Linked DNA regions of Oreochromis niloticus. The protein of the gene in region 2 interacts with the protein of the main gene of each other region in a pairwise test. Links are inferred from orthologs where the notes say so. Each region holds a gene or a part of one and is shown on either strand. Other genes may lie near its edges.

Region 1 (9,116 bases), on a different chromosome or scaffold from region 2:
CAGTTTGTCCACTTCATGTTGCTGAAAGAAAAAGGGGGGAGACAAAAAGCTTTTAAAGACCTGCTGAAAGTGCAGTAATCCTGAAGAGATGCCCTATCAGAACAGGCAGGAGAGCAGCAGCTGATGCGGTTCACCTTTAGTGTTGATACATTTGCAATACGATCCAGCGGGCTCATCAAGTCTGCCTCAATGAAGAGGTCCTTCTTCCCGGGCAGCTGTGACACAAGAAAGGGGCTTGTAAGACAATCTGCTCTTCACAACACAAAAAGCATCCCTTGTTTTGTTGTAGTTCCTGTTTTTTGTCTTCACCGAGTCTGAAGTACATCACAAACTAATGCGTGCATGGCTTAGTCTGCACACAGTTTCTACACTTTCTCCACTGATTCTGACAATGTTCATTTTTGCCTAATTAAATAAAATTAAACTGTAAAACTGACTCCTATGGCAAAAGTAAACTGTAGTTTGGTGGGGACAATTTTCATGTGAAGACAGTATAGTTCAGCATATAGGAGTAATATTTCTCAACATAAAATCTCAAGCAAATGGCTGCAATCTTTGGCTTTCCAGCAGCACTGCATTAGAAATAGACATGATTCTGCAGCAGAAATCACTCCATGAGCTGGTGGGCACTTTTAAAAGCCACTGCCAGACAAACGGTTTATTGTTATCTCCATAAACACAAGTTATAATTCTATAAAACAAACAAGAAATACAGTAGACTTCATTAAAAGCACAGAAGGCCAAAGGAGTCTCTATTTTCTGACATCACTGAGGTCCTTCAACATCCACCGGACGCTGCTCAGGATGTTTGATGAGTCTGTGGTGGCCAGTGAGGTCCTCTGTGCTCTGAGCGATACCAACAGACGTGTTGCTCGTGAATGGGTGTGCAGTCAAATGATAAAGTATAATAATAAAAAACAAAAAAGAAGAACAGTGCCATATGCATGCTATACATGCCAGTCATATTACTGATGAGCATGTCTTCAGCAGAAGCTGTGACTTGCTCCTACCTGTTCCAGCAGGTAGATGAGCTGATCTCTGGCCAGCCTCTTGAGGATGGAGAAGTCGGGGAGCTCCGGGGAGTCTCTCCTGGCACTGTGAGCCATGCTGGACACACGACGGAGGCCGGACAACACTCAGTCATCCACGGCTGGCATAAACAAAGAAAATAAATAAATAACTCATATACAAATATAATGTTTAATAATGGAGATACAAAAACCAGCAGAAACATATAGAACAGTCAGAGATCTGTGCTGTGATTATCCTCCCTGCTGGCTTAGCTTCAAAGCTAAAATCACATTCATCACATAAATGAAGATATAAAGTATCGAATACGCTGACACTAGTGTGTAAAAATTTCCCCCAAAAATATAAAATTAATGCCAGAAATTTGACCGTTTATGTCTTTTGAAACATAACACTTTATCTTATATCTTATGTTAGCAGCTACCTGCTTCCGTAGCTAAATAACTGGAATGATCCCACGACCAGTTGTTTCCCCCCGGATCATAATACGAACGGACCGCCACAGTTTTGCTCGAAAGACGTTGAAAATTAATTCACCTAACAACGCGGTTTTTCTGTTACTGACCTGACAGGACGTGATTTTTACACCATGAACTCAGATGCAGCTTTATTGTTAGAAACTGTCCAATTTGCCGCAGAGAAACACCGCAACCAGAAACGTAAAGATCCAGAGGAAACGCCGTATATAAATCACCCCATAGGTAGGTGTGTTTTTACGGTAGTATGATGCATTCACGGCCTGTACGTAAACCCGTGAAGTCTCTCACTCTTATCTTTAAAAGAAAAAGAAAAAAAAGTTTCTGATGTTTAACTGATACGATACCGGAAGCCGTGGAAGGAGGGAGTAGCCGAAAGGAGCGGTACGATCAGAACTAACCAGTAAAGTTATCAGGGTTTACTCGCATACTGCAGCTATATCACTAATATTTAGTGTTTACCATTTTATGGCAACAAATAGTTTTGCAGAAACTATATTTCAATTAACACGAGTGCCTTTATTTTGATTCTGGTGATAATAGCCTGCCGTGTAATAGCGATACGTTATTTTTCGGCTGTGTGCTCGGCACACAGTGTATAGTCTCACGTTGGAGGTGGAGGACGATTGATCCGGTTTTTTGTTCAGGCGTACAAAACTAATGGCTTTTTGTGTGCAGGGGATTTAGCGGCATCTAGTGGTGAGGCTGCAGATTGCAACGAACCTAATATCTCCCCCACTACCCACTGCTCCGTTTTTCTTTGCTGAGCTAATGATAGCACTTGGCAGTGCTTTTCCTGTCAGGGCTCCAGACCACTAGAGCTGTGGGGGACTTAAAGGGACAAGCTTTGAAAGGATAAAGAAATGCACCAAAAATAATACTGAAAAACATGAATTATTTTCCCTCTCATCTAATTTTCCATGTATCTATTCTTATTATATTGTCTTTGTTTGTTTTTTTAACCCTCTCCCCCCCCAAATTTGTATTTTTACATTTCGTTAGACATTCTGCTTTATTATGCAAAAGAGGAGCTAGTGATTGTTTCAAAATATCTTTTGAGACTACAGTTCAGTGGATTCGTTTATTTTGGTGTTAGGCAGGAGTGCCATAGATGGGCAGCCAGTGATTAAGCTCCCTCCTTGTTGTCCCTGTGTGTAAAGGAAGTTTCTGGTGGTTCGTCCACTTCTTCTGTGTGAGTTTTATTTTCCTACTTACAGATGAGAGCTATGAGCTATGTTGTGTAGAAACTTAAAGTTCTGAAGGAGCTCTTCAGAGAGGAAATGTCTGATTATAAATGAGTTTTCTTGTTCTATAAGTGACTTCTCTTAGCAGCCTGGAAACAGTGAAGCTTCTTGTTTACTGTCCTCTCTGCTACTCACAACTTTCTGTGTGTGCTTTTAAGGAGTGGCGAGAATCCTCAGCCACGAAGGGGGCGTCACAGACATCGAGGTTTTGCAGGTGAGTTATCAGTTGTTAACTGTTAGTCACAGTCACGTGCACGCATTCTCACATCAGTAATCCCATGTGCTTCCTCCCGCTCTGCAGGCCGCCCTGCTTCATGATACAGTAGAAGACACCGACACCACCCCCGCAGAGCTGGAAGCTAAATTTGGGGTAACCGTGGCTCGCATTGTTCAGGAGGTGACGGATGACAAGAGCCTGCCCAAGCAGGAGAGGAAGCGTCTACAGGTGGAACACGCACCTCACTGCAGCCAACAGGCCAAGCTGGTTAAACTGGCTGATAAACTGTACAACCTGAGGGATCTGAACCGCTGCACTCCTGTTGGTCAGTACTTCTCTGGACACAGTGCTGTTTGCTACAAAATGGAATGCTGTGTAAAAAAATAAATAAAAATACAAAATGAAGAGGATGAAATGCTTTGGAACACTTTATTTATTTGGCAGAAGTGCAAAAGACAACATATCAAATGTTGTTCAGTTATGTTTCTGAATGTGTTTGGCAGGTTGGACAGCTGAGCGGGTGCAGGAGTATTTCCTGTGGGCCTCTGAGGTGGTGAAAGGCCTGAAAGGAACCAATTCAGCTCTGGAGAAGAAGCTGGAGGAACTCTTTAAAGAGAGAGGAGTCCAGCTCTGACAGCAGGGCCACAACACAGTGGAGAAATGCAAATAAAATGCTTTTTAGTTTGTAAATATTCAAAATAAATCAAATTGAATTTACATTACAGTGTCTAATTTTCTGTGCATGGTTTTGCAGGAAAGTTGAATGTCTGATGTTGTGGTGTTTAGTAGTTAAAAAGTAAAAGATGTTACTCCTCATTTGGCAATTGTAGCTTGTGCACTGTGATGGTCCGTTTAAAAATAAGCCTATTTAGATATAACACACATTTGCAGGACTGCATTACACAAAGCAAACAATTTGGCACACTATCACTATACATTTTATGCTCAGTAATTTTCTTTAAAAGAAAATAAATAAGCTAATATAAAACAACAAGGAGATGTAGTTCATTTGAGTATTTTCTCTTGAATCGACCTGATATCTCTATTTCATTAATAGTTTTAGTAACTCCTTTACATGTTACATGTCCACATTTAAAACATATCGGATTATTAGAAATTATTCTACTTTTTAACCAAGAAAACAATAAATAATTGAATTTATTCGTACAAAAAGAATGAATGTTTAGCTCAGCAGCCTGCAGATGGCGCTGTTACACTAAAACGTTTCAGAATATTAACATTCACTTTCACCCTTCCCTGTTTTAGAAAGTTAACTTCATCATTTTTTCGCAAACTTGTTTCCCGTGTAAACCAAATGCCTCACTTCTGGGGATACTAAATGACATTATCTTCTGTATTAAAGTGAAATGAACACAGTCATCGCTCACCGGCGGAAGAACTGTCGGAGCAAATTCACTTCCTGTCCGTTCGCCGATTGTGTCAAACTTCCGTTTGAGTTGAGCGACGACGAGGAATTCGTTTTGTCAAAGTGAAATACTCCTTTTTTTAATCTTTGTACGGTTGCATATCGTGGACCGGGCAGTCATGTCTAGTCGCGAAGCCCTAAACATGAAGCTTCCACCGATCCAGTCCACGGCCGGAGCCGTGCCGGTCCGGAATGAGAAAGGTGAGCTTGTGCGGTTAGTAAGCAGGGTCCTAGCTGCGTGCTAAGCTAGTTAGCTGGAATAGCAAAGCTGGTAGTAAATTTATGTACGAAGATATATGCTGGAAAAAATGGACTGTACTTTTTTTTAAACTTAATTTAATAACATTAGTGTAACAATTTAACAATTGAGGGAAAGTGTTAACAAAATTATCTTCGTCTACATAGTTGTAGTTGGATAACGGGTCTCAATAAACCTGATGGGATCCTGCACTACCTGCGGCCTTCGAGTGGAGTTGCATTAAAACAGAGCCACGTTTTTATTGTGGGGTGCTTCAGTGGGAGGTTTGCACGATTTACACATCAGATAAACTTTCAGTCCACTCTGTGTTAAACGAGCTCCTGCGTCTTTAAGCCAAAGGTTTTCATTGGCTGGCCTTCCTAAACAGAAGGTTTTTAGAGCAGGTGACATGACCCAGTTGGGGATATTCCCTCTGTGTGACATAATACAGAGTCAAGAGTAGAAAAAAACTGTCCGCATCAGCGTGTTGCGAGCGGCCTGAAGTCAGTGAGGACGTATATACACAGACATCAGCACTGTCAGGCATTGCAGTTACCTAAAGACCAGTGACCCCATAATCGGAATCTTTATTAATCCCTAAGGAAGTTATGTGGGTTACAGTTGCTCCAAGACAGTAACAGCAACAGACTAAACTAATTAAGTAACACAATATGTTGCAGAGTTTACAAATGTAAGAAATAGCACTAATATATACATGTAAATACACTCAGTTTGATGTCACGTGTGTTTAAGAAAAGTTGGATTTAATTCTTACTTAAAAAAGAAAAAAATGTTCTAAATTAAAATTTTGCTTCATGTCAGTGGACTCGTTGATTGATAAAAGTATTTTTTAAAGGTTTTTATTAGATTTGCTATATACAAAGAAATTGGATATTAGAAGTAAATTAAATAATAACTGAAAGACAAACTGTGTGTAATCATTCATTTGGGGTTACCAGTATTGTATAATATTAAATAAATTCATGTTTAGGTACTTTTAAGATGATTTTTTATGATTTGCATGTCCTGTGAGAAAGGCATGAGTTTTCTGGTGATCAGTTTGTCATGTAATGATTTAGTTACCAGTAATAAATGATGACATTTATTACTTGGTCTTAACTAAAGATTAAAATGAGAAACTTCAAAGTTGGTATTATTTGTGGTTCTGCTGAGCTGGTATTCCTAATCGGAGAACTTTACGTAGGTTCAAGTGTGATTAAGAGGATTGTGTCTCTCCATGTGCCAGGTGAGCTCTCCATGGAGAAGGTGAAGGTGAAAAGGTACGTGTCGGGTAAACGCCCTGACTACGCGCCGATGGAGTCGTCTGATGAAGAAGAAGAAGACTTCCAGTTTGTGAAGAAGGGAAAAGAAATGGAGACAGAGGTGGAGCTGGAGGAGGAGGATGTCTCTGATCCACGTCTCAGGCGTTTGCTAAACCGTGTCTCTGAGGACGTGGAAGAGAGGTGGCGCCCAGCGTTTACGATCTGATTCAAGTTCACCAAAACGATCATGTTGGAAAGCTGACGTGAACATGGTTTGTGCCTGTTTGTCCTCAGGCTTGCAAGACACAGACAGATAGCAGAGCCTGAAGTTGTGGCTGAGAGCAGTGAAGACTCTGATGAAGGCACGTGGCACCCACAGCGAGAGGAGAGCAGTGAAGATGAAGAGGAGGAGGAAGAAGAAGTGGATGATGAGGTGCCTTAATGCTTACATTTGTCAAAAGTTTTTTTTTCTTCACTTATTTGTAGTGAGACATGTTTTTTTCTTCTTGACACTTACAGGAAATCGAGAGGAGGCGAGCAATGATGCGTCAGCGAGCCTTGGAAAGAAAGAATGAAGAGATGGAGGTCATGGAGGTGGAGGAAGAGGGGAAATCAGGAGACGAGTCGGAGTCAGAGTCTGAATACGAGGAATACACCGACAGCGAGGACGAAGCAGAGCCGCGGCTCAAACCTGTCTTCATCCGCAAGTACGAGATGAAAGTTTGTAGAACAACGTAAATCCAAAGACCATATTTATCAGTCGCAGACGGTCAGTTTTCTGTGCAGAACGTTGACAGATCAAGACACACAGGAAGTGTCTGCTTGCATTTCTGAAGGAACAAAAATTAGCAACATGGAGAAAACATATTCTGAGTGATGAGTGAATGATGAGTCTTTTATCAAGTGTGCTTTGTCTCATTTATCCAGAACACTCATGTCATTTGGAAACATACAGGACAGTCTGGAGCTGTTCACACTCAAAAATGTGTTTGGAAACAGCTCGAGTAGAGCTGAACATTTCTGTCAAAGTAACTCCTGAACACTTTATTCCTGTTAAAGCCGCCCCTCGTGCAGCTCTGCGGTGAAGAAAGCAGCTGCGCTTCGTGTTTTAGATGGAAGCAGATCACAACGACACCGGCCTGAATACCAGGCCCTTAACATTAATGAGCACATGAACTGTTTTCTCCACAGAAAAGAGAGAGTCACAGTGGCAGAGCGTGAAGCAGAGGAGCAGAGACAGAGAGAGTTGGAGGCCGAAGCGAAGCGGCAGGCGGAGGAGCGACGGCGCTATACCCTCAAGATCGTGGAGGAAGAGGCCAAGAAGGAGTTTGAGGAGAACCGGCGCACGCTGGCTGCTCTGGACGCTCTGGACACCGATGGAGAGAACGAGGAGGAGGAATACGAAGCCTGGAAGGTCAGAGAGCTGAAGCGCATCAAGAGGGACAGAGAGGCACGAGAAGCGTGAGTAAACACCAGTTTGAGTGACTGAAAATGAATTTGTGATAAAGGAACGTGCAGAGAAGAGCTCATGACTGTTGTTTGTTCTCAGCTTCGAGAAGGAGAAGTCTGAAATCGAGAGATTCCACAGCTTGACTGAGGAGGAGCGCAGGGCCGAGCTGCGCAACAACGGCAAGGTTGTCACCAACAAAGCCACCAAAGGCAAATACAAGTTCCTCCAGAAATACTACCACAGAGGAGCCTTCTTCATGGTGAGTCACCACAGTGCTTCAGTCTTACTGCACCTTCTGAGCTTCCCCCAAATGTCCCAGCTTAACCCAAGGCTTTGCTGCTCCTCCGTGCTGCTGAGTTTCTCCTAAAAACCTTAAAACATTTGTTACATCTAACAAAGCTCAATTTCCATTCCCCTTTTCTTGTATTTTTTAATCAAACTATTTGAGGAGGATCTCTTTGCAACAAATACTTTTTATGCATTTACCTGCATATAGATGAGTAAAGCTCAAAGTTAGTTCACTTAGAAATGAATTAATTTGGATTTGTGTGCCAAAGGTCAGGTGACTGTAGTTTGGTTTGATGAACCAGAGACGGATGATAAAATGATTTTCAGTAAAGTTGAGTACATGTTGGATATTTTGTGTATGCTATGTGCATGCACACAGGGATGCACAGCTTCAGTGGGCTGGTGGTGTTGGGCTGTTTACTGTCTGAAAAAAGCAGCAAATATGCACTCTACACAGTGCAGGAGATGCTTGTAATCCTTGTGGATGTGAACTTTGAACAAGCACCAGGCCTGTACTGTTTGTCCCCAACAACAAGCTCTTGTATCAGTGAGCTTTTTAAACTACTCTTAGTTTTTATAGTCGTAACATCTCTGACCTTCTGGCTTGTCCCTGTGAACATTGATCCAAGCTGCAGGATATCAGCTGATGATGTCAGTGATCAGTCTAAGTGTCAGGATATGTTTTTCTTTTGCAGGACGAGGAGGAGGACGTGTACAAGAGAGATTTCAGTGCACCTACTCTGGAGGATCACTTCAACAAAACCATCTTACCCAAAGTTATGCAGGTCGGTGGCGTTTGCTTTTTCTCTCATCTTTATCGTAGCCTGGACTGTTTCACTGAACATTGTTATAACAGCATTGTGTTCATATGAAAAATAAGGTTAAATGGTTTGCAGGTATGTGTGCTGTTTCTCAGAATCTAGTTAGAACCTTAGAGAGGAGGATGTAAACACTTAACCATGTTTTTACATTTGTGTCTTGTTGTTCTGAAGACATTTGGACAGCTATATTGTGAAATTAAATGTCCTTGTGTGCTGCGGGTGTTTCAGCACTCCGGCTAGCTTGGACCTGCTTACTTGGTGCACTTGCAGATATTTATTGTTAATCTGCGTCTGTTTATTCGTTCGTTTTCATAAATCGGTACTTGTTTGGAAGCTTTAATGACTGAACAGTCGTCTTTGACTTGAGTCACATTATCCTCTGTGTGTCCTCTGCTGCTGTCCCACTGACTTCCTCTCACACGTGGTGACAGCAGTGGAGGCTGAGAGAACCTCTCGTACTGCACAGAGCAGTAGAGACAATAACAGTGCATCTTATTCAGGCAGTAGCAAAAGGAGTTTCTTTTTCTCTTCAATTACGGGGCTCTCTGATCTTTTGTGGTTTGTTTCCTGCAAAGGTGAAAAACTTTGGTCGGTCTGGACGCACAAAGTACACCCACCTGGTGGACCAGGACACCACGTCGTTCGACTCTGCCTGGGCTCAAGAG
Region 2 (11,052 bases):
CACTATTTTTCCTTGTTTTTTTGATATTTAAACTACTTCTATTTGGACTGCAAAGACAGCTTCAACTTTTGCTTTGGGACAGACATTTTATGGAGGAAAAAATCACAGAAAATAAAATAGAAATAAATTCCACCTACAAGAAAATCTGACAGTCGACCGCTGAGTGTCTTATCATTCTCGTAGATGCTGACTTTAACTTAAACCTCTCTCATAGTAATCACAGGATTGCTCCGCAGGATGATTACTTTCTCATTAGTAACCGCCACCACCAGCAAGCACAACAACAACATGAGTCATCAACATGCATCTGCTTAGAGTATCTTATGACATCATGCATATTTTTATAGTCTTTTACAGCCACTTTACAGTTAGAGTGCGATTTGATGAGCTGCTCGTGTAACAAACACTCTCGCTTCTGTGCCGGCCAAATGAGATCACCAAACTTTTTTGTTTTTCAGATTGCACAAAGATGGGGAATCAACAACTTTCAGGAGCCTCATCTAAATTTCAGATGAGTGAATCAGATGCAGAGTGAGAGATGGAGAGGCCGGCACTGAAATGTCAACAAAGCCAACTGCTCGATAACATGCCGGACGCTGCTGCTGCTGCCATCTGCATGACAAAACTGCTGCACTTTGTCTTTGTGTGACTTTGTGTGTTGAAAAACAGAAGTTGCACTTTAATTCTGTGCACAGAGCAATGCCACTGATGTTTAGATGGACAGATGATCATGTACATGTACCGACGCCTTGATTTTAGTGGGTATACGTATGCTGTTCATGTGCTCTGAGTATTCGATCAGTCAGCTCTTGGTCTTGTTTTAGCTGCATCATAAACACAAAGTCATTTATAATCTAAGGTCTTAAGTTTTTATCAGAATAATCAAAATTGAGGTTAAAAATGTCTTAAAATTCTCATCCTAACAGTTGCTGTGTCTTCTCTTTTTAGTCATTAACTGGTTTCCACAGTGGGAACTGGTGTGCATCTTGCTTGAAGAGGAAGAGGAAAAATGTAAAAATAGAAATAAGACAAAAAATGCTGGAAGATAAAGGTCATCGTATGAACACACTAACCTGTATTTTTCATGATAGAGACTATTTTACCAACTCTGTGGTGATTTGACCTTTAAACAGGCTCAAGCTCTCGGAGCAGGGCTCTCTGCAACTAAGCTGAAAATAAAATTAAATGAAGGTAAAAGAAGTTTGTTTGAGGGTGGAAATGTGAATTGGACTGGGCTCATTTAAAGTATGAGATGGAAATAAGGGGTGAGAATCACAAATGAACCCTGGGAAAACAAAGATGGGGCATTTATTTCAGCAAGCAGTGTTTTATTTTGAAAGCTGACCTGATTATCTGTGTTGTTCATATTTCTAACTTCATATTTAGATAATGTGTAAATTGTAATCAGCTCATTTAATTATTTTCTTGAGCTGGCTACCATCCTCTCCACCCTGAGCTGCTTCTTCTTCTTCATCGATACACATTAGTTGACTTCAGTTCTATTTAACAATGATTCATTTTATAAGTTTTGTAGTGGTGATGCTGAGGGGATTCATTTAGAAAGCTGTACGTTTTATTATAAATTTCAATGTGTGGGGGCAGTGAATTAATAAAGTATTGAAGGCATAAGTGATACGACATATTGGCATGTTTCTACTGATGTTGTGACCACAGAAAGTCAGTGACATCGGTGACAGTCGACTACATGTAAAATAACTGCTGCAGAAACAAAGTGCGCAGATCCAGACTCAAACTTTCCCAAACTTTTAAGCAAGTGACTGAAGCAACAGTGAAGTGCACCATGTGAGATGTGACAGTGTGGTAAACACATCAAAGGGTTACCTAGGCAACCAGAGATAGGAATGTCCAGTAGTGCTTAATTGTCAGTAATGTGCTATGAGCAAGTTTAAAGTGGATCTATTGAGGCTGTTTAACCAGTATTGTTCCTACTGTTTGCTCTATAATGTCATTTCTCATGATATTTACAATATACGAGCATCACCCACCTGCTGTTTAAACCTTCTGTTTGCAAGGGTCGGCCAGTTAGAATAAAGACTGGTTAAAAGGAGAGGTAAGAGAGCGAAAACAACTTGGTTTAGTCAGACGTGAAGTGGCGTGAAGTGCAAACTGTATGCCGTAACTGTCCTTCACCTTCTGTCTCATGTAGACGGTGCCGAGCGGAGCCACGTCACAGTCTCTGTGCTGTCCGAACACTTTGCACATGGAGCAGGTCGGCGTCTGGCAGGACAAGCAGTAGATGTTGATCTTCTCGTCTTCATGTTCTTCACACATGAGCTGCTGCTGCTGCTGCTCTGGTTTCATGCTAACAAGTCTGCAAGACACAAAAAAATATCATGTTTAATGTAAGGATTGCTCCAGGAAAATTTGGATGTGGTCATAAAAGCCTGGTGTGTTTATATAACAGGTTTCTGTCAGTATCACACCCATTTGTAGTCAGTTTTAATATTTACCTTAACATATTAACAGTGAAAAAAGTATATTTTAGGTCAATCTTTAACTTAAAGCAGCCTGTAATTAAAATGTCTTAGACTCCTTTACAGTAAATATGAATAAGGTTGTAAAAAATGTCTTAAATTTAACATCCCACCCCTGTAGATAGCCTGCAGCAGCCTGCATCTGCAAGGGCAGTTGCACAGTACTCCCTAAAGCACATAGAAAGTTCAGATGAAAACCAGTGTTTCACTTACAAAATAATCCAGAAGTAGGTCTTTTTTTATAAGCTGTTAGCCATCATTTTAATACCCTTGAAATGAGACTAAAAGGAAACTTGGCTAATTTGTAATCTCATTCCCATGCACAGCATGCACAAGACTTGGCATCATTGTCTGTATTGTTGAAGCAGCTTAGTTTACTTCTGTTATCACTGACGTATTTTGACGTCAGTGGATGATGGAAGAACTGCATAAAGAGTTTGGCAGAGGTGGCAGCTGTCTCTTTGCCACCTGCAAATCAGGAATGTCACTGCTCACTTACAGCTCAGCTGGTTTCCTTTATTATAGCTTTAATATATACAAGAATAGTGTATGTATATAAAGGTCATTATCATTGCTGTCTCCTTTATTTTTGTGCGTGTGATTTGACATCATTCTCCTCCCAGATTGATCACTGCCAGACATTTCATTTAAAAAAAGAAGCTGACACGGACATGGATAATTCTGTAGCTTCCGAGAAACAACAGCTAAATTTCATGAAATAAACTGTCCTTTGTACTCTGACGCAGGCGTCTCTGACAGAAACGATGATTAAGTTATGATAATATTTTTCACGTGTGAAAAAATGATGAGAAAACCACAAGTTACAAAAGATTTGTGACCATCCGTGTGAACAATCACATCTATTTTAGCCCACACGGATAACGAGGGGACTCCTGTCGCTCTTCTTTTTTATCACTGACTCATTCAGCTTCTATTCTGAGAGGAAGAGACAAAGTTACACTGAGGATGATCTGTTGTAGTAAGTGTGGAGAGCAGATGTAGTAAAGAGGCTGCTGCTTGAAACGCTTTACTTTTTATACAAAGTGCATGCGTGTGGAAACAACTGTCATACTATCATTTCTACAGTGCTCGGGTATTGGTTATACTCAGGTGGAACAGTTACAGTATCAGGTTCCACATGAGTCATGCTGGGGAAATATTTGATAACTGATTCTGGTTGATACACTCATAGAAAACGACTCTACTTTTAGATCTGGTTCAGAATTTGGGTTTCTTCAGCAAAAATCTAAATAGTAAAGATCTTTCTGTCTACCTATTATTAAAAATCGAATGTGTTACTGCAACAATCTGTAACAATCTGTTACTACAGCGAAAGCATCAGAAGTTTCTTTTTCTCATGTATCAATACAAAAGACACTCTTCATATTTCCAACATGTTTCCTTGTGCACACAACACATCATTCACCTGTAATCATCAACCTGTGCATCAAAATGTATTAATATACCAATAAAGAAAATACAATAAAATATAAAACCGACACGTGTCTCAAGACTGGCTAACATATTTTAGTCAGTACTTCAAAACTGAGTGACTTGTGCTTGATTTTGTCTTTAAATATGTCTCTGGGAATAAAGGAGAGACAAATCACCCAAAAATGAACGCTAAAATGTTGTTTATTTGATTATGATGATGTTGATTATGTAAGCATGCATGGCTTTGTCATTACTGCTAAATATACTTCATATCAGCCACAATAAACAAGAACACAACATACAGTATATGCATACATCACCTCTGCTCTGCTGACAAACATGCAAACCCACAAACCTGCTGTAATACAATATGATGCTGCTCTCTGCAGGCAGTCACTCATTACTACAGCTAAGTGCACTCTCGATAAACATGTTAGTGTTTTTAAACGATGAACGAAGAATTTCAAGTTTTACAAACAGTATAATGTTTAATTTTTATGATTTTTCTGATTACTTAGATTTGTATTAATCTCATTACATAATAATAATGTAATATAAAATAAATTAGTTGGATGAACTTGCACTGATTAACTTTTGTGAGTTTACCCGGATTGGACGTGGCAGTTAGTAGTGAATCAGGATTGGTTTAATGAGATAAATGTTTCTGAGGAAGACACAGGAAGGTGAGTCCCATAGTAACAACAAGAAATATAAACAGAGGTTGTCTTGGGTGTCCAGTGGTACAACTACTTGACTTTGGTTTAATACAACTAACAAATATTACTGGAAAGGTGGATTCAAAAACTGAACATGCTGTTTCAGATTCTCTCCCTTCAAGACATCTCTCTCCTGATTGGCCGGCTCCTGCAAACAGAAGCTTGAATAGTAGGTGGGTGTGGCTTCTGAGTCTGGGCCACTGAGTCTGGGCCTGAGATGAGCAGATTATTAATACCCTCTCAATGATGTCATACAGAAGCAAGAGAAGAAAAAACTGTCTCAAACTGAGTATTTTATCTCCAACATACCATTGTATCTGGTATTTGCAAAACAACAAAAAAAACAAACAGAACAAGCCTAACTCTGCTTAGACTTCATTAATTAAGAGGCACAGCTTCATCAGAGCAATCCTGTGGCTGTATTGAGACATCGCTACAATGCTAGTGTGCCCCCTCAAATATGTACATGTGATGATTTAAAAAGTTCACTAAAAGAAACATTTGCCTGGGTTACTACCCCTTCTTTCAACCCTCCCTCTCTGGGTCATTCACCTGGAGGACTCCTGCTGTCTGTAGATGTCGATAATGTTCTCCACCAGCAGGTTCCTCTGGAGGCCATAGACTCCATGGCGGTCGAGCACCACCTCATGGCGGCACGACGGACAGCGAAAGCGACCGCCACTGGCCGTCGCACTGGAGGAACCACGGGAATGCCACAGAGGATTAGCTGACTGGATTTAAGAGGGGGGGAAAAAACAAACAACAAACTGCTTCAGACTGCTTCACTGGTGGATTTCTGTTTGGTTGCACATATGAACCCAGTATCAGTGAAGAGAGAGGAAGACTCTGCTTTGACTTTTATTAAACTGAAGAATCGGTAGCCAGATGGCAATAAATGTGACCCACATCTGCAGTTTTCCACAGGCCACATTTGGCCTCGACTGACGGTGCTGACTCACCCTGAGTCAGCACCGTCAGTCGAGGCCTCAGCTCAGCCACAGATCCACTTTCCATGAGCCAGATGTTAGGTGTGCCGTGACATCTGGCCATTTAACTGCAATGTTTTGTGCCCCTAAATTAGATTTTTTAGGTCGAAATAAAAATATATTTGCATATAAGAAAGAAAAAATATATATCTATAAGAAAGAAAATATTTTTACATTAGAAAAAGCCTCTGAGATAAGGTTGTTGGTGTTGATAAATGACTAAATGTGATTTCTAAATTTCAAAAGCGTGTTTAATATACAGATACTATCTGCTAACATGGGAGTGGACTAGGACAAAATAAATACTGTCTGTTTGGGTTTTCACTCGATCACATTGTAGCTGTGAATCTAAGGTCACTGCAGACTCTGAGGATGTGTAGATAAAGGGGAACTCCAACTAAAACCTTTAAAACTAACAGTGTAATCTCTGAATACTGAAAAACCCCGAAGGCTTCTTCTTCTTTTCTTTCAGTCTCACCTGGAAGATGTCATTGGCACACTTGCGGCAGAGGTTGTGCTGACAGGGCAGGATGACCACAGGTTTGGAGAACATCTCCAGGCAGACGGGACAGATCAGCTGCTTTTCCAGATTCTCCATGGTGGCTCCGCTTCCAGCACCGGGCCCAGAGCTGCCTGCTGTCGGGTGCTTAAAGCCGAGAGCAAAGCTCATCACCTCCGGCAGTGAGGAAGATGTCAAAGACGTCAGGAAGCTCTGCCCTTCTACTCTCAAATGGCTGTAAAGTTAGTTGGTTTTAGTATTTTCCACTTAGCTGTTACGCCATTTCTAACCACAGTTGTCCATGTCCACCGCTTTATGCCACAGCCAGCTTGCCTAAAGCCCAAGTAAAGACCCTCCCACACACCTCAGGCCCACAGCAGCCAGCCTGTCCCTCTGTTGGTATTTTTAGCTCCTCAGTTTGTTCTGGCTTGGGTTACTGTCTAAACTGCGTTCCTGAAAGTCTGGGCGTGGCAGGGGATCACAGCAGGGTTCGGTATCTGGGTTCAAATTATTCTATTTTTATGAAGTCTGATACTTCAGAGGGGATCCTGGTGACATAATGCAACCTGTGACAGCAAAGTTTCAGGTGATTAGCATGCTGGCATAAACAGCTTGAAGCATTACTCAACTTAGATGTCTGTTTGTTCCTGCAGAACACGCCGAGTGCGCAACATCTCTGTTCATCCAACTTTCTGACTAATCTCACCAGGAGATTAGTCAGAAAGGTGGAGTATTTGTTGTGCTGTATGTTTCCAACAAGCCTTCTTCTTATTTGGAGCAAAGCAAAGTGTGTACTCGGGTGAAAATATTGTTTAATCAAAGATATTTAATATTAAAACCTCTAAAAACAAACTTCAGTCAACAAAGCTTTGCTAAATAATGAGCCGGGTACAAGTCAACACATTTAAAGCATTTTCTTTTCCACGGCTGATTTAAGTTTCTTGGCGACATTCAATTCAGTAAGAAGTCAACATCTTTTTAAAAAAATCTTACCAAAATGGTTCAACTGTTAAAAGAAATCCTAATAAAGTTAAAATTTTAGTTTGGTTCTTTGCTTTTTTATATTAATTTTCCACTCTACTAAATATATAAATGTAAGGTGTGCGACTGAGTCATCAAGCATGAGAAGCAGAAGAAGAAAAAAGCTGAACAGAATCGCTGGCCAAGCAGCTCCAAACAAACAACAGCTCACAGGACATTTAAACTCCAATATAAATACAGAAATATCAGTCAGAGAATAGATAACTGACTCAAGAGCACCATCTACTGTTTAACCTCAGCACCCTCAGTCTCAGGAGAAAGCATTTATTGAATATCTGTGTCAAATGTGCAAGAAAACCTCAGATTATATCACATTTATACAGTAGCTTGGGCATCAAAGGATGGGACAGCTGAGGAATTTCTTTTTGGGGCTTAAACTTAACAAACTATAACTATGATGCAACTACAACAACATCATATTATGGACCACTCAAGTCATTTTAACTAATATGAGGGCAAAATGTGATCAGACAAATCAAGTAATGTGTTGTGATTATTAATATTTAATACTAAAGACGTGAAGTTTATCTATGCAGTCATGTTAAAGAGCAGAGGAAAGCTGACTACTGGCCTAAAATTAAGAATAGTAAAGTCTATAAATGTATGAAGCAGTCTGAATCTGTATTTCACTGTATGCTGCACATTGAGGCAGGACATGTTCTTTTTGTCACTGTAGCTATGAATTAACTGTTGTACAATCACTTTTATGCTAGGCTCTGACCTGGTAAACTATAATTGATTACTCATGCAGAACCTAAGCCTGATCTCGTCCACAATGTGACCCAGAGACCCCTTTGTGGCCTTCAACCTGTCAGCATACAGCAGTGAGGTCTGTTCCCAGGGACAGACAAAAAAACAAAAACAAAACCCTGAAGTATTTGCTAATCAACAGAATGGAGTTGGCAGGACTAAGCTGCTAATGGGCTAACAGGACTATTAATAGTCCGGAGCGGAGGGCTGCTGCAGAGTGAGCCAAACATACAAACACAGGGATTCAAGCTGAAGACCTCCGTGTTACCGTTCTGTGATTACCTTCCTGTCAACAAACTTTTCATTAATTAAAAAGAAAACCCATCCTGCACCCTTAAGAGCACCAAATACAACTGGGCTCTCATTCATTTGTCATATAAGCTTTGCTTTAGTGTTTATAAATGTGATCATGGTTGTCAACACCAGCACCACCACACATGTTTTTCTCTTGGTACTGTTTGCAGTTGTTTCATATTGATGGCTCTGATGACAATGAATTACTCTTTATTATTCACTAATGGTTCAATTACTTCTTTTTTCTGTATTTTCAATTATCACCATTTTTTGCAGTATTATTTTAAATTTACTGCATCGGGAAGAGCCTGAAAAACAAAACAAAACACCACCACCACCACCACAACAACAAAAAGCCAATATAACTTAACACAGATCATGAAGCGAGCCTCTGTGGCGACCCCTTGTGGCCAGGGAGCAAGCTGAAAGTAGCTTTATGCATCTTATTTTCTTAAGTGGTGCTAAAAAACTAAAAGTGTAACCCTTGACATAATTTCCTAAACAAGCACAAACATAAGACAAAGTTACACACTAGAAGTTATAAAATCCTGTTGTTTTATTTGGTTTCTATAATAAGTTTTACATGTTCGTCCACAGAGAACCACAACAGTCAGCTCTCCTATTTATCAATCCCCAGTTTCATCCAAAAATGTCTTTCTCCAATTCTTCTATATTTGTTGACTTTCTTTTACATTTCTTCTTCTTCTTAATAAAGATGAATGCAACATTTTTTTTCAACCACTCAGCTTATCCACAAAAAGAAATTAGCTCAGCGCTAATTGTTTTTAGCATATGCCAGTGGTTGTATTACCAAACAGTGCATGCTGACATGTTAGCGTCAAACATTCAAGTAAGCAATTCTGTTAAATCCTTTCATAAAAGATGTCGCCTAATAGTAAGAATTAAAAAAAAAAACAAAAAAACATTTTGCTGTTTTATGGTGTTGCTTATAACACTTAAAAAAAACCAAAAAAACGAAACAGTATGACTGAGTGCTCCATCATCATGTTTAAACTCTAATGATGTAGCGTTAAATAAAAATGAAGTGCTCTGTTTCACTTTTGGATATTATTATGGATTAAAAACAACTATGACATGAAATCAAATGACCTTCAAGTCTGCAGACGGTTTCCCTCAGAAACAAGCTGATATGTAAATAAAGAGCAGATATGAAGTGACTGGTAAAAATTTATCAAAGCTGGTTTGTTTTTTCACAATATGGTCGTACACGTAGCTCTGCATTCATTTATTATAACACACCGAGTAATACAGAAGAGTTTTAGAAGCCGAATTTAGATGTGACTATAGTTTTGGCCAGCACAGAGATATAAAACCTTTAGAGCAAAATTTATGTTAAAAAAACTAAACAAAAAAAACACAACAACAAATTGCATTAGTATTCTACACAGGACTATAACGCTCCACATGACAACAACTGAACAGCTTCCACGTGATGTCAGTAAACAATGTTTGAGGTTTGAAAACGTTAAAACAATCTAAAAATAACATGGAAGCAAAATATCATTTTTTTATTTAAATTAGAGACTAAGCAGTAAAAAAGCCAAGTATTAGTAACATCAAAAAAAATAAGAGGACATATAGGAGTCATTGCTAAAAAAAAAAAAAAAAAAAAAAAAAAAAAAAAAAAGACCTTAAATGAGGTTAGTGGGATTTTTTTTGCTTTATCTTCTTTTTCCTTTCTTTTGTAGAGAGGGGAAAATAAACAAAAACAAAATAAACTTACAGAAAAATAATATTGGTATGTGAATTTAAATTCTGTTTCGACTCACAATTTCAAATTTTTACATCTCCATTTTAAAATATGCACTACTAAAGAAAGAGTTGAACATTTTGGGAAATGCATTTAGTGTTTCATCAATACCATTTTAAAACACTAACAAAATTAAGCCAGTGAAGGGCCTTAACACGTCATTCATTTAGTGGCCAACAGGGGGCAGCAACTCTGGTTTCACAACTGTATAGATGTCTAAAGGAAATGGCTCTACGCTCTTTTAATCTGTGAGAGTTTACAGATTAAACACGTGGCCTCGATCGCTAGTTCCACACATTAATTATGGGTCCAGTTTGTAAGTGGTGACCTCGTTAACAAAACAGAAGCTGTTTTACTTTGTAATTGACAAGTAGCTAACCTATGATTGTGCAATGTCCTTGGTTTTTTAGTCAGACCCACCCCTCATTCATCATGCACAGTTTCAAATCATAAAAATGGCAAAAACAGATAAACCCCTCGGCTCAAGCCTTCATTAACCCAAAGGTTGACACTGAGGTGGCGACGCCCATCTTTTATTTACAGTCTGTTGGCAAAAAGCATTGAAGCAAATACATTTATGAAACAGATTTCCCAAAATGTTGAACTACTTCTTTAAAAAAAAAAAAAAAAAAAAAAAAAGGTTTCTTTGTCATTTCAGAAGACGCCCAAAGCCATCTATTCATCCATCCATGGAGATGTAGCAGAATAATGCTTAACATGATGTGTTCTGAGTACACTTATGACGCAACCCATTGTATTTTTGAGCTTTTTGTTGAAGTAAATTGCTTATTTATTGGGCTTCATCTGCCTTCCATTACAGCTTTTGAGTCAAGGAAGAAAATCAGTTTCAGACAAGTCAATAAATCAGTGCAAAGTGGATGATTCATGGAAAATGCTGGCAGCTCAAACTCTCACCAAAATCACATTACATCATCAGTAATCCTCACGTCTCAGCCTTAGATGGCATTAAATCTATCAAATCACCCGTAGGGAAAGCAATTAAATAATTTGCCATCTAAAAGCAATTAGCTTTGTCATGAGCCGATCCACTGACATTTTGAGCTGG
Region 3 (8,780 bases), on a different chromosome or scaffold from region 2:
GCACAAATTCATCAGATTTTTTAACATTTGAACATAACACGCTTCCAGGATTTCTGGTGATGTGCTGAAAAGGTGGAGAGTATGCACACAAAACCGTTTGTTAGATCTGTCACGAAGGTCAGAAGGCATCAGTTTCTGTTCCTCTAAGGCATAGGTGTCAAACTCTGGCCCGCGGGCCAAATTTGGCCCGCAGCCTAATTACATTTGGCCCGCGAAGCCATACCAAATTACTATTAATGCTGGCCTACTGGTATTATACAGCTAATATATATATTGTTTAGTATTAAGCTTTGCTTGTTCCATATTCAGTTTTTCAGCAAAACTTGTTTGAGTCCATAAGAAAAGATTCATTCTTATATCTGGAGGAAGATTTTTTTTCAATAAATATTAATGTTGGCCCGCGACTTTGTTCCAGTTTTGAATTTTGGCCCACTGTGTATTTGAGTTTGACACCCCTGCTCTAAGGGGACCTAATGTTATTACATCTGGTACTGGAAGATGAAGTGTATCTAAAATAAAAAAAATAAAAAGAGCAAGTAAGACTGAATCAGACCCCAAATGGGAATGCAAATTGTCTTAATACCTAGTGGACAATATTGGGATGTTTGTGCCTCTTCTCACCTTTGTCAGCAATGAAACACTACCATTAAACTGCCGTCATTTTAAATTTTGTTTGACAGTTTTCCTACTGTGCTCTTGGATTCCTTTGTGTGAGCAAATGCAATAAATGACACTATTCTTAATTTAAGAATGAACAAAACTCGGGTTTTTAATTAGACAGGAGTTAGCCGAGTCCTCTTCTCCTCAGTGTTTAATATGAAGAAGTGTCTTCTAAACAAACCTACTGTGAGTAAAAGCACCTGAGAATTCACATCAGTGATTAACATGCTGTGAAGATGTTTCACACACACTTTCCTGTATAATCTGGTCGTCAAACTATGCCGTTTAGTTTTATAGTATCTACTTTATGGCACTGAGTCAGACTCTTCTGTGATGCCTGCAATGTTAATCGAAGTATCGACACTTGCCATGAGTCAGCTAATAATATGGAGAGCAGCAGAAGCAGCATTCAAAAACAAAAAGGAGTTTATTACTTGTATCATGGTACAATTTAACCATACAAAAGCAACATCACATTGTTTGATGTTAGCAGAGAATATTTTGGATTAACAGTTTAGCAAGTGGCACATCACAACATCTTCCCCCTCTAAATATTTCTCTGTTGACTTGAATTAAGTATCATGTGGTTGTCTGGGATCTACAGGAAGCAGACCACTGTTTGGCATGCTGCCTCAGTGCTCCATTGGCTCATCAGAGGCCTCTGCAGGAGCAGGTTCATCTGCAGGCTGGGCAACCTGAAACACAATTATTTTTTCAGTTTCATCTTAGATAGTATACTATCATGAAGTGACAAGGAAATGTTTCTCCAGAGCTGGACTGGATAAACCTTTGCAGTACCTTTCTTTGTGGCCTCTCCTCTAGCCCTTCCAGGAATGGGGCAACATCGTCATCGTCATAAATGATGAACTCCATGTCTTTCCCGACAATGCCGATGGAAACATTCTGAAAGAAAAAGGGCACAGTGCTGAGAAACTGCCTCTGTGCTGCACAAGCTCATGTCTCATTAAAGGCAAGATTTGTGCTAGCTGAGTGTGTAAGAAGGTGCCGTATCAGGTGGGTGTGGCGGGAGCTGGGGTACCTTGGTAGTGAGGTCCTGCTCAGTAGGGAGGGTTTCTCTGAGAGCACGGAGGCCATGCTGGACCAGTTCATTCAGGTTACCTGACAACAAAACCCACATGTCAGTGTGACCATTCACGTTTATATTGTAAAACTGCATTGATGACTAAAATATTTCAACATGTCCCAAAGTGCCTCAAGATGCTCATGGCCAAATTACATTAGTTATTTAACAATACAACAGGATAAGTGTTCATTTGCAGTTTAAACTGCTTTAAATGTAAATGCTTCTGAGAAGGTTAAAAATTAAAAAATGGATCTTACAGTCAGAGAATTTATCCATGCATCTCTCCAGGTAGGTGCGTGCAGACTGGGAACGCGCTCCGATGGACATGGCTTTACAGTCAAAGTAGTTTGCTGACGGGCAGGTCTGGAAGATGTGAGGTCCCATGTCCTGTTTGACACAAAACAAATAAATATCAACTGCACTGACTACTGAAACCTTTATAGTCTTTCAGCTGCAGATAATGCTATACATGCATGAATCCAGGCAGATATTTAACAAAGAGCGGGCGTGAAACAAACTCACATCATAACCAGCAATAAGGAGTCCAACACCGTAGGGCCTTCTTCCATATCTCTGTGTTGGGATTTGGGTTTCTGCAGTTTAAGTCAAGAATCATGTGACTCACTTTTTTTTTTTTTTAATCCTCTCATGAAGACAACCAGAAAACAGTCTAGTTTCTCTCACTCACACAGGAAACACATGCTATAACATATATTAGTATAACTGATAACAGTAGAGAGGATACTGCTGCCAACAAGAGTGACAAGACGTGACGTTGGGAGGGGCCTGTCGAAGACAAATCTGGAGTCCAAGCACTCCTGACGCATGAAGTTACTGTGGGAGAGAAGGTGTAGGAATTGTATTTAAGAATATTATGTACTATAATCATGAGCGACTTAGTCTGCACCATCAGCGTCACTGTTACCTACCAGAGCAGCCTGGCATCAGCAGTCAGTCCAGCAATGGAGATACCAATGTGGTTGTCAACATGGAGGATCTTCTTCTGGTGGGCCGCCAGTTCAGACTGGGCTCTCTGCAAGAGAAACATGACACATCAGTTGTGGATATTCAGTCATTGTGCTTTGACACCAATACCCTGTTGCAGGTTTTCTTGGCTGCTGTACTTTAATATACTTCCTATTATAAGAAACAGGCTTTTTCCCCCCCCTTTTCTATAAATAAGACAAGTAGGCAAGATGACACAAAGGAAATCCTTTTTATATGTTTAGAGACACTCAGAAACATACTACTGACCCACAAAATATTCAGGAAAGAAGTATAATTGTGTAGATACTTGGTGACAGTGTGTTAAAAAATAAAAACCTACAGACTTGTTTTTCTGCATCAGGAACAATGCCTGTATAGTGACCAATTTTCTGGCATTTATCCAAGGCATAAAAAACTGCAATGTCATAAGATCACCATCAAACACTGCATGACTGTACCTTTAGTGCCACCAGGACTGCATGTGTTCTGGATTTCAGCCCTACAGTTGCAGACCCTTGTTTCACAGCCTCCATGGCATACTCGATTTGATGAATACGCCCCTGTTCACAGATGGACACACTTATTTCACTCATCATGCTATCAAGTGTTAATGATGCACTTAGTCAGTGAAAGACATGACTTACCTGTGGGCTCCATACGGTCACATCGTTGTCGTACTGGTTGCGGAACTAAAGACAAACAAAAAACAAGCCGTCACTTAAAAGACTGTTATTAAAATATCACACACAGGAGCTGAACTTACATAGTTGTCTTGCATTATAAGCAGTTTTCTTGGTTAGCTACTGTTTCTCAAGGACTGAAGACTGCAACTACAAAAGAGACTGTCTGCAGGTTGGACTTTTCCAGAGCCAGGTTTTAAATTACCACCGTGATTAAATTATTTATAAACACGCATCTCTTTACTGGCTCGAAACACAAAACACCAAACTGACTTTAATACTGGATTAGGACCAGACAGCAGCATAAATACTGGGAGCATGGTAAATGGCAATCATAAAATACTAAATGGATTTCAATTGTCCGTCAAGCCAAATAACAACAGACACGAAGAGCTGGTTAAAAAAAAGTTATGGGGATTTCTGCTTTTATCGCCTCATCAGCGTCACAATTAAAACGTTGGATTTTGTGTATTTCACCCTGTTTCTGTCATGTATTTTTTTTTTATTAACTTGTGGGGACAAGAATGATTTGCAATTGCTATGCACTCATGTTCATACACCATGTCGCTCTGAAACGCTCCCATCATACAAAAGTTTGACATGTTAGAATTTAATGACGGCTAACTGTCATTAGCTAAGTAACCTTTACAGAACATCACTAACATTTACTATAGGAGACTTGCGGAATCATCACAGCCTTCGCAGTGATACATTTCTGCACAAAATAATTATTTCTCTTTTTCTAGCTTTTAAAGCCGAAAGGCCGGTGAAGTGGATTAAGGGAAAACGAAAGTAAGACATTCTACTTCCATCGCTAGTTTCAATGATGCTAACTCAGCCTAGCTGCTGAACGTTAGCCTTCCAATTCTCGATTCATCTAACAAATATTTAACTCATCATGTTTTAACAACATTTAATAGGAGCTAACTGAATATTTACTTAGGCAGACTGCGCTGAGTATAGGCTACGTGAAGGCTGTTTCTTTGAACACTGTGCGGCTAACGCTAGCAGTGCAGTGTTTTGCTTACTCACAGTGCAGTCAAAAGTTAGCCAGCTAATGTTAGCATTGTGGGAGTAAGTGGACCTGCTTTCAGGATTTCTTGAGAAAATATTATACGTAAAAATATACCGTGTCATTTATTTAGGCTTCGGGTCTGATGTATAATATGAAACTGACCAAAAAGTTATACATTTAATTCATACGCACCATCTCTGCTTAAGAAAGTGCCTCGTCCCCGCCGCCTGCGCAGTGATCCTCACTTGATTTATTTTCCTGACAGGACGTCAGGGAAACCAACAGAACCCCGATTTCAAATCAGTGATCAACTGAGTGAACTTTTGGTTGGTAATGTAAAAAAAAAACAACAACAAAAAAACAGTCCAATCTCTTATTTTTTAAAAAAGCATTCACAAACACTCACAAAATATCTAAAAAAACAAAATTAATAAAATAGAAGTGTATTTTAAATCTTGCCTCTACAAATGCAAATATGCAAATATTATAAAATCAAATAAGACAAAATAAAACAACCGTTTTAATTTGTTAAGGTAAATCCAAAACTAATCAATTGCAATGTATTTTTTTTTTTACTTAAATCATAAGAAGGATCGTGAAAAGAGAACCCATTTGGATATGAAAAAGTGAACTGAAAGCAGAAACTGAAACTGTGGAAAAAACACAAGAGCTCTTTGTGGAATGAACTGATCTGTGCGAATTAATGAACCATCTTGCCGTGTACATTAGCTTACTAACGAAATCCGTTTTTGTATATTCTTTTCTACGAGTGAGCTCTTGGTTGCAGTGATTGAGCATGGACACTAGGCGGCAGCAGTAAATTAGAAGAAGGAACCGAGGCGTCACTGCGTAGGGGACGCTGTCTTATTGCTGTCGCAGACCTGTTTCTCCATACAAATCCAGAAGAAAATATAAAATTGTCCTATAGACATAATAGTAGGTGCTTGTTTGATATCTTTACTTTCGTTTCTTTTTCTTCGCTAAAGGCACACTCACTTTAATGATGAAAAACCTTACCAGCTAGATTTGAAGGGTTTTTTTTTTGTTTTTTTGCCCACATTCATAGTTTTCCCAGATGTGTGTGATTCCATTTACTATTTACTATAAGGTCAAAACAGTACAGGTAGTAATATAACATTTGTGAAAATTGAAAATAATTTTTTACAAAGACAGAAGAAGTCCATGTGTTAGTAAAGGCCACCCATCTCAGTTATTCACATATATTATTTCTGTGTCACAGAGCACTCCAGTCAATACCTGTCTGTTTCCTGAAACCATAATAACCCATGACTTTTCATCTGCAGTGCATGAATTGTCTCTCCTTACAGACAATAATAAACAGGACTAAACCAAAGTAGAAAGTAAAGCAGATTATATCCACTACACTGTCTTAGAATACACATTTTATGTGAGAAGTCCCAGTTTGACTAAGTCAGCAGCCTTTTGTTATCTATGATGAAGTTGCTGATGCTACTCCCCAGCTCAGTACCTTTCTTGCTGATTTCTGTCTTTACAGAAGCAACACCATGCTCAGAAAAGACTGGAGTACTTTAAAGAAAATTCTTAAAACTGGCAGGATTCCCCTTTAATCCTTTAAACATGTGAATGAACATAATTTTCAGCACTATTTTAGCAGCTAGCAGTTGAAAAAATGGCACTCACACCATTTTTGAACTGTAAATCCCTAGGATGGCATATCTTTAAAAAAAAAAAACTGTACTAATATAATCATTTCGCTGCTCCTTATTAGAGCCCAGTAAAATGTCCCTCTGCTGTGGTGTAGTGGTAACAGGTAATGAGGTTGTATCCTGTGTGCTTTCTGTTGAGCACCACAGAAACAGTCCCAGCTTCTGTTCCATTAGACGGGTAAAAGCCAGAAATTGCTGGTCAATAAATGTGGCGTTCAGAGAAATCCTCACGGATCCATTGTTTGTACTGGACTTTTTCTCTGAGGGCATTTCATACTTTGTGTTGTTCTGCTGTAAAACACAAATCGCCCATTTTCCAAAATGGAAATACTTTGTAACAGCTATCATGAGTGAACGGTATTGATAGTTATTAGGCTCAAGTTAATAGTTAATTACTGTTAATATGGAATAAAGTGATAATTAATAATATTTTTTGCATAACATAATCAGCCACACAATGTTCAACCATATACAAGCAGGCAGATGAAGTGGCATAATTCGCAGGACTGTTTAACCTTTGTGTCCTGTTTTTTTTATCTGTTTAAATTCAGTTTCTCTAGTTGTTTTTTAAGGTTTAGGCACCAAGACTACTTGGTTAAATGGTCTAGATTAAATTACAAATTACAGCTGAGACCCATCTCACTGGTATGGCACATGGGTCAGAGTTTGAAGCCAAAGGAAACTGAGGTCTCATTGTTTTTTAACAGTATAAATATCTGTTAAAGTTTAGCTAATTATTGTCTTAATTTTTATTACTGATTGTTACTTTAAAAGTGATATATTGTAACGTTTGTTAGCTGTCACCACTTCAGCTGCTTTCCAATAAAGAAAAAGATTATGGCTAATTTACGAGAAAAAAGATTTGAGACTGTCTTTCGCCCCAAAAGCAGCGAGACAGAAAATATTGTGTTTAAAATTTAGGTGAGGGTATAAAAAGAGGTGGCTGTAAAGCGTTCACAAGCGTTGTTACCTTTAGCTGCAGTGGAGCTCAACATCCTGACCAGAAAATACATAAACGCCATTTTTCTTTTTCCTTAAAGTTAACCGTTACCCAAATAGTTCTTGTGCCTTAAAACCCAACAGTCCGTGAAGGTCAAAGAAAAGAAAATGAAAAAACGATCCTGTTTTATGTGGGAGCATCATTAGACATTGGACAAGGATTTACAGGATTATCTTATATAAAAAAAATCTACTACAACTTAGCTTTGCAGGAATGGTTTTACTTTTCTTTTTTCTAAAATCATCTCATGAGCTTTTCAAGTATTTTTTTAACTTATTAAAATCCAATCCTATAGGAGATATGGGAGAAAAGCACTGCTTTCAAATGCTTTTTTCCTTTTTTCAAATGTATATCACATGGTTGTGCAGCAGCTCTACAGGTGGACAGATGCTGACAGGTTTGTGGGGTTTAGCATAGACACAGTGATACACATGCTTTCCACACAGCTCCAGAAACTCTCATGGACATTTTTTTTTCTTCCCTAAGGGATTCTATCACTTTCCATGATGTGTGTCTCTGCAGCCAGAGAAATGCTCACTGAACGCCTTATGTCCAATACCCTGCGTCTCGCTGTATTCTTGGCCACCGTTCCCCCATTTTTTTTCTCTCTCTTTCTCTCTGTTAATGATATCTGATGTACCCTTGATCCAGAATGGGGTTGGGTGGGGAGTGGGGGTGGGGGTTTGAATTAGTAGGACTGTGCTGACGAGCTCTCCTCCCCTGCCAAGGCAGCAGCAGCATGGCGGCAGCCATTACATCAGTGCGCCAACCTCCTCCTTTGTGATTGAGATTGTAGGAGCTGTGCTTAGCTCAGCATGTTTTTTTCTTTTTTTTTCCTGGGGGCCTCATTTTATTTTGCCAAGTGCCCCCCCCACCTCCCATTTAATTTTTCAAATGGAGAGCAGCCTGAGTCACTGTGTGATGGGTCCAAGCCACACTGTGGACCCACACATGGTGGTAAGTGTAAGCACACCCATTCTTCTACTCATTCATATATATCTATATCTATCTATCTCTCTATATATAGATAGATATAGATATAGATATATATATTTTAAATGATGGTTAATTACTATCTCTAGTTTATATCATCACTTTAGCACCCAGTGATTTTTTTAAAATATGTTGTGTCTTTCCTTTTGTTGGCAGGACACACCGAGGATTTTACATTACTTCTATAATGTATAATAAAACATATAAACATAATATATAGTAATAATTTCTATCCTGACTGGTGTAAAATTCCGCAAATTCCCAACCTGTGTTGCTAAAAATAGGTCAGCGATGTGTTTTAGCTCAGAAAATGGACGGACTAATTGGTAGGAAAGGTGGCAGCTCTGCCAATGTTGCATTAAGCTGGCAGCTATCCAGTGACAAGACAGGTCAGGGGTCTGCAGCCACAGAGCAAACAGAGAAAAGCCTCGGCAGCCTATCCTGCTGATAAGTTTTATGGCTCTCATCTGCATGTCGTCATAGGCTTTAAGATTTCCAGCAGAGCATGTGTGTGTGAGAAGAGGTGAGGAGGGAGTCTTGCAGAGATCCTTCTCAGTGCTGTCAGTTTCCTGGTGTTGACGAAAGCACTTATGCAGCATTTCAGCGGCAAATGGCTGAAGACGTTTTTTTCTGGCTAAAAAAAAAAGCTGTACATTATGGGCACTTAATAATA

Evidence for each region.
Region 1: the proteins of trim54 (region 2) and mfap1 interact in binary tests that used the Homo sapiens proteins (3 or more experiments, as listed by UniProt). The two-hybrid records come from large-scale screens. The link is inferred for Oreochromis niloticus from reciprocal best matches to the Homo sapiens genes TRIM54 and MFAP1.
Region 3: the proteins of trim54 (region 2) and psma1 interact in binary tests that used the Homo sapiens proteins (3 or more experiments, as listed by UniProt). The link is inferred for Oreochromis niloticus from reciprocal best matches to the Homo sapiens genes TRIM54 and PSMA1.

The regions. Positions count from the first base shown.
Region 1 is NC_031965.2:1,536,714-1,545,829, reverse strand, and holds the start of mfap1 (microfibrillar-associated protein 1), read left to right. Parts: upstream 1-4,372; 5' UTR 4,373-4,511; coding exon 4,512-4,593; intron 4,594-5,876; coding exon 5,877-6,093; intron 6,094-6,186; coding exon 6,187-6,325; intron 6,326-6,411; coding exon 6,412-6,599; intron 6,600-7,083; coding exon 7,084-7,353; intron 7,354-7,441; coding exon 7,442-7,601; intron 7,602-8,325; coding exon 8,326-8,415; intron 8,416-9,026; coding exon 9,027-9,116. Other genes in the region: vps33b (vacuolar protein sorting-associated protein 33B), read right to left, coding at 1-21, 135-215, 1,011-1,106; hddc3 (guanosine-3',5'-bis(diphosphate) 3'-pyrophosphohydrolase MESH1), read left to right, coding at 1,619-1,730, 2,908-2,963, 3,051-3,291, 3,470-3,600. UniProt on the Homo sapiens protein: Involved in pre-mRNA splicing as a component of the spliceosome.
Region 2 is NC_031980.2:21,565,693-21,576,744, forward strand, and holds the start of trim54 (tripartite motif-containing protein 54), read right to left. Parts: upstream 6,489-11,052; 5' UTR 6,302-6,488; coding exon 6,110-6,301; intron 5,377-6,109; coding exon 5,198-5,376; intron 2,333-5,197; coding exon 2,152-2,332; intron 1-2,151. UniProt on the Homo sapiens protein: May bind and stabilize microtubules during myotubes formation.
Region 3 is NC_031972.2:42,851,610-42,860,389, forward strand, and holds psma1 (proteasome subunit alpha type-1), read right to left. Parts: upstream 4,745-8,780; 5' UTR 4,622-4,744; coding exon 4,619-4,621; intron 3,421-4,618; coding exon 3,376-3,420; intron 3,292-3,375; coding exon 3,190-3,291; intron 2,778-3,189; coding exon 2,674-2,777; intron 2,579-2,673; coding exon 2,490-2,578; intron 2,338-2,489; coding exon 2,267-2,337; intron 2,132-2,266; coding exon 2,002-2,131; intron 1,780-2,001; coding exon 1,700-1,779; intron 1,564-1,699; coding exon 1,459-1,563; intron 1,356-1,458; coding exon 1,293-1,355; 3' UTR 1,069-1,292; downstream 1-1,068. UniProt on the Homo sapiens protein: Component of the 20S core proteasome complex involved in the proteolytic degradation of most intracellular proteins. This complex plays numerous essential roles within the cell by associating with different regulatory particles.